Cricetulus griseus: one gene and its partner. The protein of the gene in region 2 purifies or fractionates together with the protein of the main gene of each other region. This does not show direct contact. Links are inferred from orthologs where the notes say so. Each region holds a gene or a part of one and is shown on either strand. Other genes may lie near its edges. The genes, in order: Rcan3 and Ppp3cc.

The links.
Region 1: the proteins of Ppp3cc (region 2) and Rcan3 purify together in Homo sapiens (affinity purification with mass spectrometry; 3 studies listed by BioGRID and IntAct, counting the BioPlex papers as one, with this or other methods). This does not show direct contact. The link is inferred for Cricetulus griseus from reciprocal best matches to the Homo sapiens genes PPP3CC and RCAN3.

Annotation. Positions count from the first base shown.
Region 1 is NC_048595.1:17,832,152-17,836,065, forward strand, and holds the start of Rcan3 (calcipressin-3), read left to right. Parts: upstream 1-1,091; 5' UTR 1,092-1,311; intron 1,312-3,914.
Region 2 is NW_023276807.1:224,946,912-224,950,825, forward strand, and holds the start of Ppp3cc (serine/threonine-protein phosphatase 2B catalytic subunit gamma isoform), read right to left. Parts: upstream 2,226-3,914; 5' UTR 1,939-2,225; coding exon 1,890-1,938; intron 537-1,889; exon of another isoform or gene 398-536; intron 1-397. UniProt on the Homo sapiens protein: Calcium-dependent, calmodulin-stimulated protein phosphatase which plays an essential role in the transduction of intracellular Ca(2+)-mediated signals. Dephosphorylates and activates transcription factor NFATC1.

The DNA of each region.
Region 1 (3,914 bases), on a different chromosome or scaffold from region 2:
CTTGCCAGACACAATGAGGAGGATGAAGGATGTGGAAGATTCCATTCCTGTTCTCAATTTCTTGCTCTTGTTCACAACACAGGCAGCAACAACTCTTCCTTTGCCCGGAAGGCAGGCACACAGTTCTGACGGCTGACTTTTGACCTTTGACCTTTGTGTTTTATCTGTGTAATAGCCCTGGCTGTCCTGGAACTCGCTTTGTAGACCAGGCTGGCCTTGAACTCTTCTATTCATTTTTTTTTTTTTTTTGGACGGGTAGTCATGTGGAGGTCAAGGAACAATTGCGGGAGTTGGTTCTCTCCTTCCACCATGTTGGTCCCTGGTTGGGAGCAAGCACCCTCAGCCCCTGAACCCGGCTGCCGGCTAGCTGAGCAGATTCCTTCTAGCGGGAGCTGAGACAAGAAGATCTCCAGCTCTGTGCCTGTCATCTAGCCTATCAGCTGAAGGAAGGCACAGCTCCCCGCCAGGCTGGTCTCAGCAACAGTAATTAAACTAACCCGCAGTGATGCCAGCCAGCCTCGGTGCTACCACGGGTGGAGACCTCGACTAGACATGATTGGTGCCCCATTGTCTCCAAGGGAGACACGCAAGACTGTGCAAGGAAAGGCAAACGCAAACATCATTAATATTGTACGTCTGTGCAGGCTGCAATGGAGGGAGGAGACACACCTGCTGACACCCACAGCTCGGCGACGTCACTGTCGCCTCTGCTGGGCGGAGGGGGCTGCGGGGCGCGGTCCGGCACATCCGGCTGGCGGGTTCCCGGGAGGTTCCCGGGTAAAGGTTCCTAGTATCCTCGCTAGCTGTTCCTGTCACTGTCGTGTGGGGCCCGCAAGAAGCGAGAGGAGAGGTTTCAGGGTGGCGGCGGATACGTAGGGGTCGTCCAAGGTCCCGTTTTAGAGGTCACATACAGCCTTTGCCTCAGGGCTCCCGCCCAAGCCCTTCACAGCCTGTACCCGAGAGCCAGGAAGAGCGGGCGAGAGCGCGCGCGCGCAGAGCCTGCCCCGCCCCCTGGGGCCCCGCCCACCACAAGGACTCCCGCCCACCGAGCTGCCAGCCCCTCCCACCTGTCTGTGCGCCTGCGCAGCGCGCCCGGTAGGCGCGAGGAACCGAGGGAGGGCGCGAGGCGCGCGGGTCCGGGAGCGCGCGCGCGACGCCAGCAACCTTGCTCGGGCCCAAGTCACCGCCCGCGTCCCCGGCTGAGGCAGCCGGCGTCGAGGGCGTGGCGGCTCCCCGCGGCCCCGGGCGGAGGGGGTCTGTCGGCTCCAGGCCGCGCTCGTCGCCCCCGGGCCTCTCCCCTCGAGCGCACAGGTGAGTCTCCCCTTCGCAGGGCGGGGCCGGCGCGCGGCCGCTCGGAACAGGTTTGCAGCGGCGCTGGCTGATGGATCCCCAGGACCCCTGAAAGTTACAGCAGCCCCAGCCGCAGCAGCAGCTGCCCGGAGCCCCCTAGACGCTGCTAAGGGCCAGCTGCCTGGTCCCCAGGGTCTTCCCCGGACGCTTCGGGGTGACATCCTACAAAACACTACTCGCCAAGTCCTTCCTCCACCACCGATTTCTCCAACAGCTGTACGACTTTTTGAAAGGTGGCAGGGCCAACCTGCCCCCAGGGCAGGAAAGGTGTGGCCAGTAAGACAGGGATGGCAGCAGGTGGAAGCCCCAGTCTCCTCCCCGCTTTTCCCTCCCCCAGGATGCAGGAATAATCATCAGCGCATCTCTGCGTCCCTGGCTTCTGGAAACTTGTGTCCGCCTCCCAAACCGACGCACCTTCAATATCAGTCTGTTTCCAGGTTGCCCGGTTCCAGCTTCCGTGTGAAATCTCATCATCCCCTCAGGGGATTAAGATTCTAGCGGCTCACGTCTGTGTTTCAGATTCAAACCAGGATTATTTAGCGTGATATTGTAGTGTACGAAGGGTTTAAGAATCAAAACATATTCACCTCCCCTTACTGAAAGCTATCTAGTACAACACATTTACCTGAACTTTTCGTAGAAGTCTTTCGCCTTCTGTTTGGCCAGAGAAGTAATTTCATCTGTAGCTGTAATTAAAGATTACTTAAAAATCTTATTCTAAGGACTGGGTGTGGCACATGTTTATAATCTCAGCACTTGGGAGGCTGGGCTGGATTACAAAACAAGGCCCTGTCCAAAAACAACAACAACAACAATAAAAAACCAAAAACCCCCAAAACCCTTACTTTATCACTATGCCATTACCTCTGGTCTGATATATAAAACTGTAAAGCAATGTTTGGCCCTAAATGATGGCTCAGCAGGTAAAGACACTTGCTGCAAAGCTTGACAACTGGAGTTTGTGGGTCCCAGGAGAGAACCAGCTCCTCCTGCAAGTTGCCCTCCACATGAGTGTTGCTGTGGCCACAGGCAAACACACATACATACATTAAATAAATAAATACATATATTCTAACAAAATATTGGGGCTGGAGGGCTGGCTCGGCTGTTAAGAGCACTTACTGCTTTAGTAGAGGCCTGGGGTTGGATTCCCGGCACCCATATGACAGCTCATAGCAGTCTGTACAGTTCCAGGTGGTCCCACCCTTCTTCATACCTCTGAGGGCCCATACATGTACCTGATACACAAACATACACCCACAGGCACACACCTACATGTAAATAAATAAGTAAAAAGCCGGAATTTAAAAATATAGTAGTCTTGGAGTCTAGATGTTCATGCAGCATATAGAGTTGTTCTTTTTGATCAGAATTTCATGTTAGTGGTCTGATAGACTGTGGATATAGGAGGGTTATGAAAAAATTAGTGTCCTGTTAGTCTTTGCTATAGTTTTACATTTTACCTCCTTGGCAACTGGTTTCCAAGAAAAGAGGTTTTAGGGGATTTTTTTCTTTACTATTTAATCATGATATGTTTTAAGGTTTTAAAAGCTTATATAGTCTTAGGCTAAACAAATGAGAAGCAATGCTGCATGCTGTTACAGGAAATAAGAATCCAAAAATGAGGAGAGGTGAGGAAAAACAGTGTGACTTAGAACTCTGTTCACCTGACCCTGCACAGTGGCTGCAGGATTTGATGAAGCATTTGACTTAGTCCTAAAGACCTACAGAGAGCTCAACTCGTAGCTCAATGGTAAAACACTTGACCAGCATGCTTGAGGTCCTAGGTTCAATCCCCAGTATTAGAAGAGGAAAAAAAGTCCTTCAGCCATTGAGTGAGGGTGTATCACCCTGAAGAGATTATGTTTAGGGAAGATGACTTATATGCAACAAAGCAAATAGCATCAGTTTTTCTCCAAAGCCTTACATTTATTGCTTTCATTTTGTCTTTCTCATACTAATAGGTAGAACAAGAATATCGATGACGATAGGAACAGTGATAGATTATCAATAAAATGGTGTGACTTGAGGTCCTAGAAACACTCACAGAAATGTAATTTTTAGGTTTTTAAAGGCTTATTTTTTGTGCACGAATGTTTTGTCTATATATATGTATATATACATGTACCCCATGTATGCCTGGTGCCCTCAGAAGGCATCAGTATCCTGGAACTATTGATGGTTATGAGCTCCCATGTGGGTGCTGGGAACTGAACCCAGGTCTTCTGCAAGAGCCATCTTTCTAGCCCCAGAATATAACTTTTAAAAAGATTTATTTTTTTAAATTGTGTCTGTGTATGAGTATATGCACATGTCACAGGTATCCATGGAGGCCAGGAGAGGACATTGTACCCCCTGGAGCTGGAGTTGCAGGTAGGAGCTAGGAACCAAACTCTGGTCCCTCTGCAAAAGCAGAACATGCTCTTAACTGCATCTTTCCAGTCCCCAAATCTAATCTTTATAACCTATTTTACACTAATGTTCCACCAACTTTATTATGCCGATTTTTGTTTCTCATTACTACTTTGGGGGGAAAAAAAGAGTAGAATTCTACCTGCCAATGA
Region 2 (3,914 bases):
GTACTACATAGAGAGACCCTGTCTCAAAACAAAACAGAAGGCTTAAACTAGGTATGTAGTTTACATCTGTATTCCCATCATTTAAGACTGCTGTAGGAGTAACCATGAGTTTGCCTGGCTGCACAACAGAATGAAATTCTGCTTAATCCCTCACACAAAGAGAGACACAGGTCTTGAAAGTTTACAGAATGTGGTAATTTCTGCTAAAGAACAAGTTTGTATCATATCCTACAGACTGTAAAAATGGTATTCACTTAGCTGTAAACATACTAGCAATAAACAGCACCTATACTTTACCTGTCTTTCATTCCACTTCTGTTTAAGTGTAAGAATTAGTCATTTTAAAACGTCCTTTACAAATAATGGTGGAAATAACAGGTACAAAAAAAGAAATTACACTGTGAGATTCTTGAAGGTCTGAGGGTGCCACTAAGCCTTGATCAGACTTCATTTATCCTGACTTGACACGGATTCAGGTTTAACTGGTTTCCTTGCCTACTTCGGCTGAGAAATAGGCATCTTTTGACAGAGAAAAGCACTAGAAAGAAAAGGCCGGATGAATCATTACAATGGTACAGTGGTGAAAAGTCATTTTAATATAAGAGGAAACTGCCAACACCCTTACACAGTCATCGGCACAGTACAATTCAGTTCAGAAGTTAAAGTACATAATGATGACCTTGCTCCATCAGAAAAGGTTGTGTGATGTGAGTTTTGTATTTCTGCGTATTAAAAGAGGCATTTTTCCTCCTTGTGGATTAGATGCTATGAAGACTTACACTAAAATGCTCAGGACACTTTAGCTGTTAAAGGACTAACAACCATTTTATGAGCAATTAACTGAAATCCCCAATGATAACAAATCCTAAGGACAGAAGTCCCAAAAGTACCATATGTATTGTTCGGCAAGGCAGATAACCAACATTTATGATATTAATACTGTCATTTTCTCTGTGAGCACTCAATAGGCTCCCCCCTTTAAAATATTATCGTTACTAATCTCAGTTTTCTTTCTCCTAAAATCAGAATGAAATGGGGGAAGAAGGTATTTTAATAGTTTTCTCCCTCTGTGATGAAAACCACCCTTCCCAGAAACTGCTGGTCTAAGCATATTACCATCTTAAAAACAGTGCTTTCAAACCAACTATTACTACAGAGAGAGACGGAGGAGGTCTTACAGTCGGACAAAAGCAGCACATCAATGGGTGGTTATGTTTGACAGGTCCTATTGGCTAAAGGGCAGAAACTACACCATAAAACCCTGAAAGATTGAGAACACTTTTACATTTTATTCTTAAAATAACAATGGAAATAAGATACAATGGCAGACATCTCTATCAGAGGTCCCTACAGCCAAAGTGAAAACAGGAGACCCGCATGTCAAGAAATCTGTAAGCCCCTTTAAGCATCATTAAAGAGATTTGTGTTACTACCACTTGTTTCTTTTAGGAAAAGCAGTGACTGGTGATATCTAGACAAAATGGGCCAAACGTGCACGATACACCCGCCACACCCCTGGCAAGAAATTTTTTTTAAGGGTTAGGCAAGGGACTGTCAAGCAAGAGCTGAGCCTAAGAAGAGGCACGACTGGGTAAGTCATGGGAACTCCCCGCTCGCACAACCCCAGACGGCATCCCCAGCTAGACAGGACTTGACGAGGAAAAAGGAATCAGGAGAGAGCGCCTGGCTGCCGTGGGAGTGGATGGCGGGCGCGGTCGCTCTACCCACCTCCCGCTAGGTACCCGTCCAGCAGTCACCGAGGACGCCGGCGGACAGCCGCCCGGTCCTCCCCGCGCCCTGCAGCGCCTCCCGCCGCTGCCTCCATCCCCGCTCCTCGAGTCCCCGAGCCGTCGCCCGGCGAGGGCCGTTCCCCGCGGCGCGCTCGGCACCTTTGATGACGCGATCGGTCGTGGAGAACTGAGGGTGACTCCCGGACATGGTCTCCTCCCGGCTCCGGCGGCCCGCACGACGCGAGCCGCCGCCTTCCTCCCCAGCGGTCTACGTTCGGCGGGCCAGCAGCCACCGCGCCGGGCCCCGGAAGACGGGGCGTCCTCGGACGGCGGCGGCCGCAGCGCCGCTCCCTCCCTGCGGCGGCGCCCGCGGCTCGGCGGGGACGACCGCGTCGAGAGCGACGGAGACCGCGGCTGAGGGACACAACTCGGGAGATCGCCGCTGCGCGCGACCGGAGCCCCGCGTGCGCGCCTCCGCGCTCACAACTTCCCGGCGGCCCCGCGTGCCCCCCGCCGCGCTCTGCGCACGCGCGTCCCTCCGCTTTCCGCTCTTAATTCCTACTGCCCCGCAGCCAGCTTGGTGTTACAGGGCGGATGCTCTTTGCCTGCTGCTCGTCACCTCTACCCCGACCTGTAGCCTCTCAAGCCAGCCCCCTGCGATCTTGAGACCAAGCCGGCGTCTCCCCTCATCAGAGAGAGCCCCTGTCTTCTCACGAACGCTTCCTCCCTTACTACTTTGTCCCCAGAAGAAATTATCCATTCTACCAGTTCCTCAGATTGCCCTCTCCCATTAACCAACCCCCCCCCACCTTGAAACCCCCTACATCAACTTTATGTTTGTTGCACGGAACTTGTACCTAGCAGCCTAAAGACCTTCGCGTCCATCCTAGTTCCAGTCCAGCACTTGGGAGGGTGGGAGGGATCCGTTTCCACTTCCACGAGAAAGCTGTTACTGGCTTCTAGTTCGCTAGCCCAGACCTCCTTGATGAAGGGAATTGACTTCTAACTGATCTTTCCTTAATGGACCACCTGCCAATCTGGACGTATTTATTCCACTGTGGTACAATGACACCGCATCGGCCTCCCTATCGTGTGCGTGTGTGTGACCGCATGAGGTGTTTGCATTTGTGTGTGCTAGTGGGCTTGCCCATAGCAAGTTCAAGTGGAGGCCAGAGGTCGAAATTGTGTGGTCTACAGTGGCCAATGAGTAATGACAAGTGGTTGTGTAAATTAAGTAGTTCAGTTTCAGGTACTGGCTACATTATTGGCTGTCATAGGACATTTCCATCGATGCGCAAAGCTGGTTTGGTTTTTTTTTTGGGGGGGGGGATTTTGTTTGTTTTGTTTTCTGAAACAGGTCTCAAGTCACTCAGATTGGCCTGGAAGGTGATGTGTAGCCAAGAATGATCCTGAACTACTGATCCTCCTGCCTCTGCCTCCAAGTGCTGGGATTATTGATATTTACCACCCTGCCCAGTCATTGCAGAAAGTGCTATGGATAGCTTCTTTCTAATCGATTGCAGGGTAAAGACAAAGTCTCCCCTAGTATGGATTTATACACGGAAAGGAAGTCTGGAGATCTAGACTAGAATCAGACCCTACATTGCCTCTTGAAGTTTCAGTCTAAGATCTTTCACAGTAAGGCACGTTTGAGGCAGGATTACTTCAGGGAATAATTAGAATATGGCTTTATTTTCACAGAACCTGGTTTCAGGTTTCCACAGTGAGAACCCTTGACATATTTTAAGAAAGTTGTCCATTAAAGAAACAACCAGGTGCCTCTGTCAGGCAGATTCTAAAGCATAGCGGATGCTAACATTCACAGGGTTGCTGAAAACAAAACGGTTTGGGAAACTACAAACCAAAGGAGAACAATAGATTATTCAATAAAAGTTATGGAAAAATTAATCAACTACTTAGATCTTTTGCTGTTATTTTTGAGACAGGGTTTCTCTGTGTAGCCCTGGCTACATTCCTAGAACTCATTCTGTAGACCAGGATGGCCTTGAACTCGCAGAGATCCACCAGCCTTTGCCTCCTGGGTACTGGGATTAAGGGTGTATACCACGGTACTGACTTGCCTACTTGGGTCTTAAATTAGAGGACGCCCCCATTTGCATCAAAATTCAGCATCCAGAAGGTGGAGGATCAGAATATTTATTGTGTAGTTCCTTCCCCAGTAGA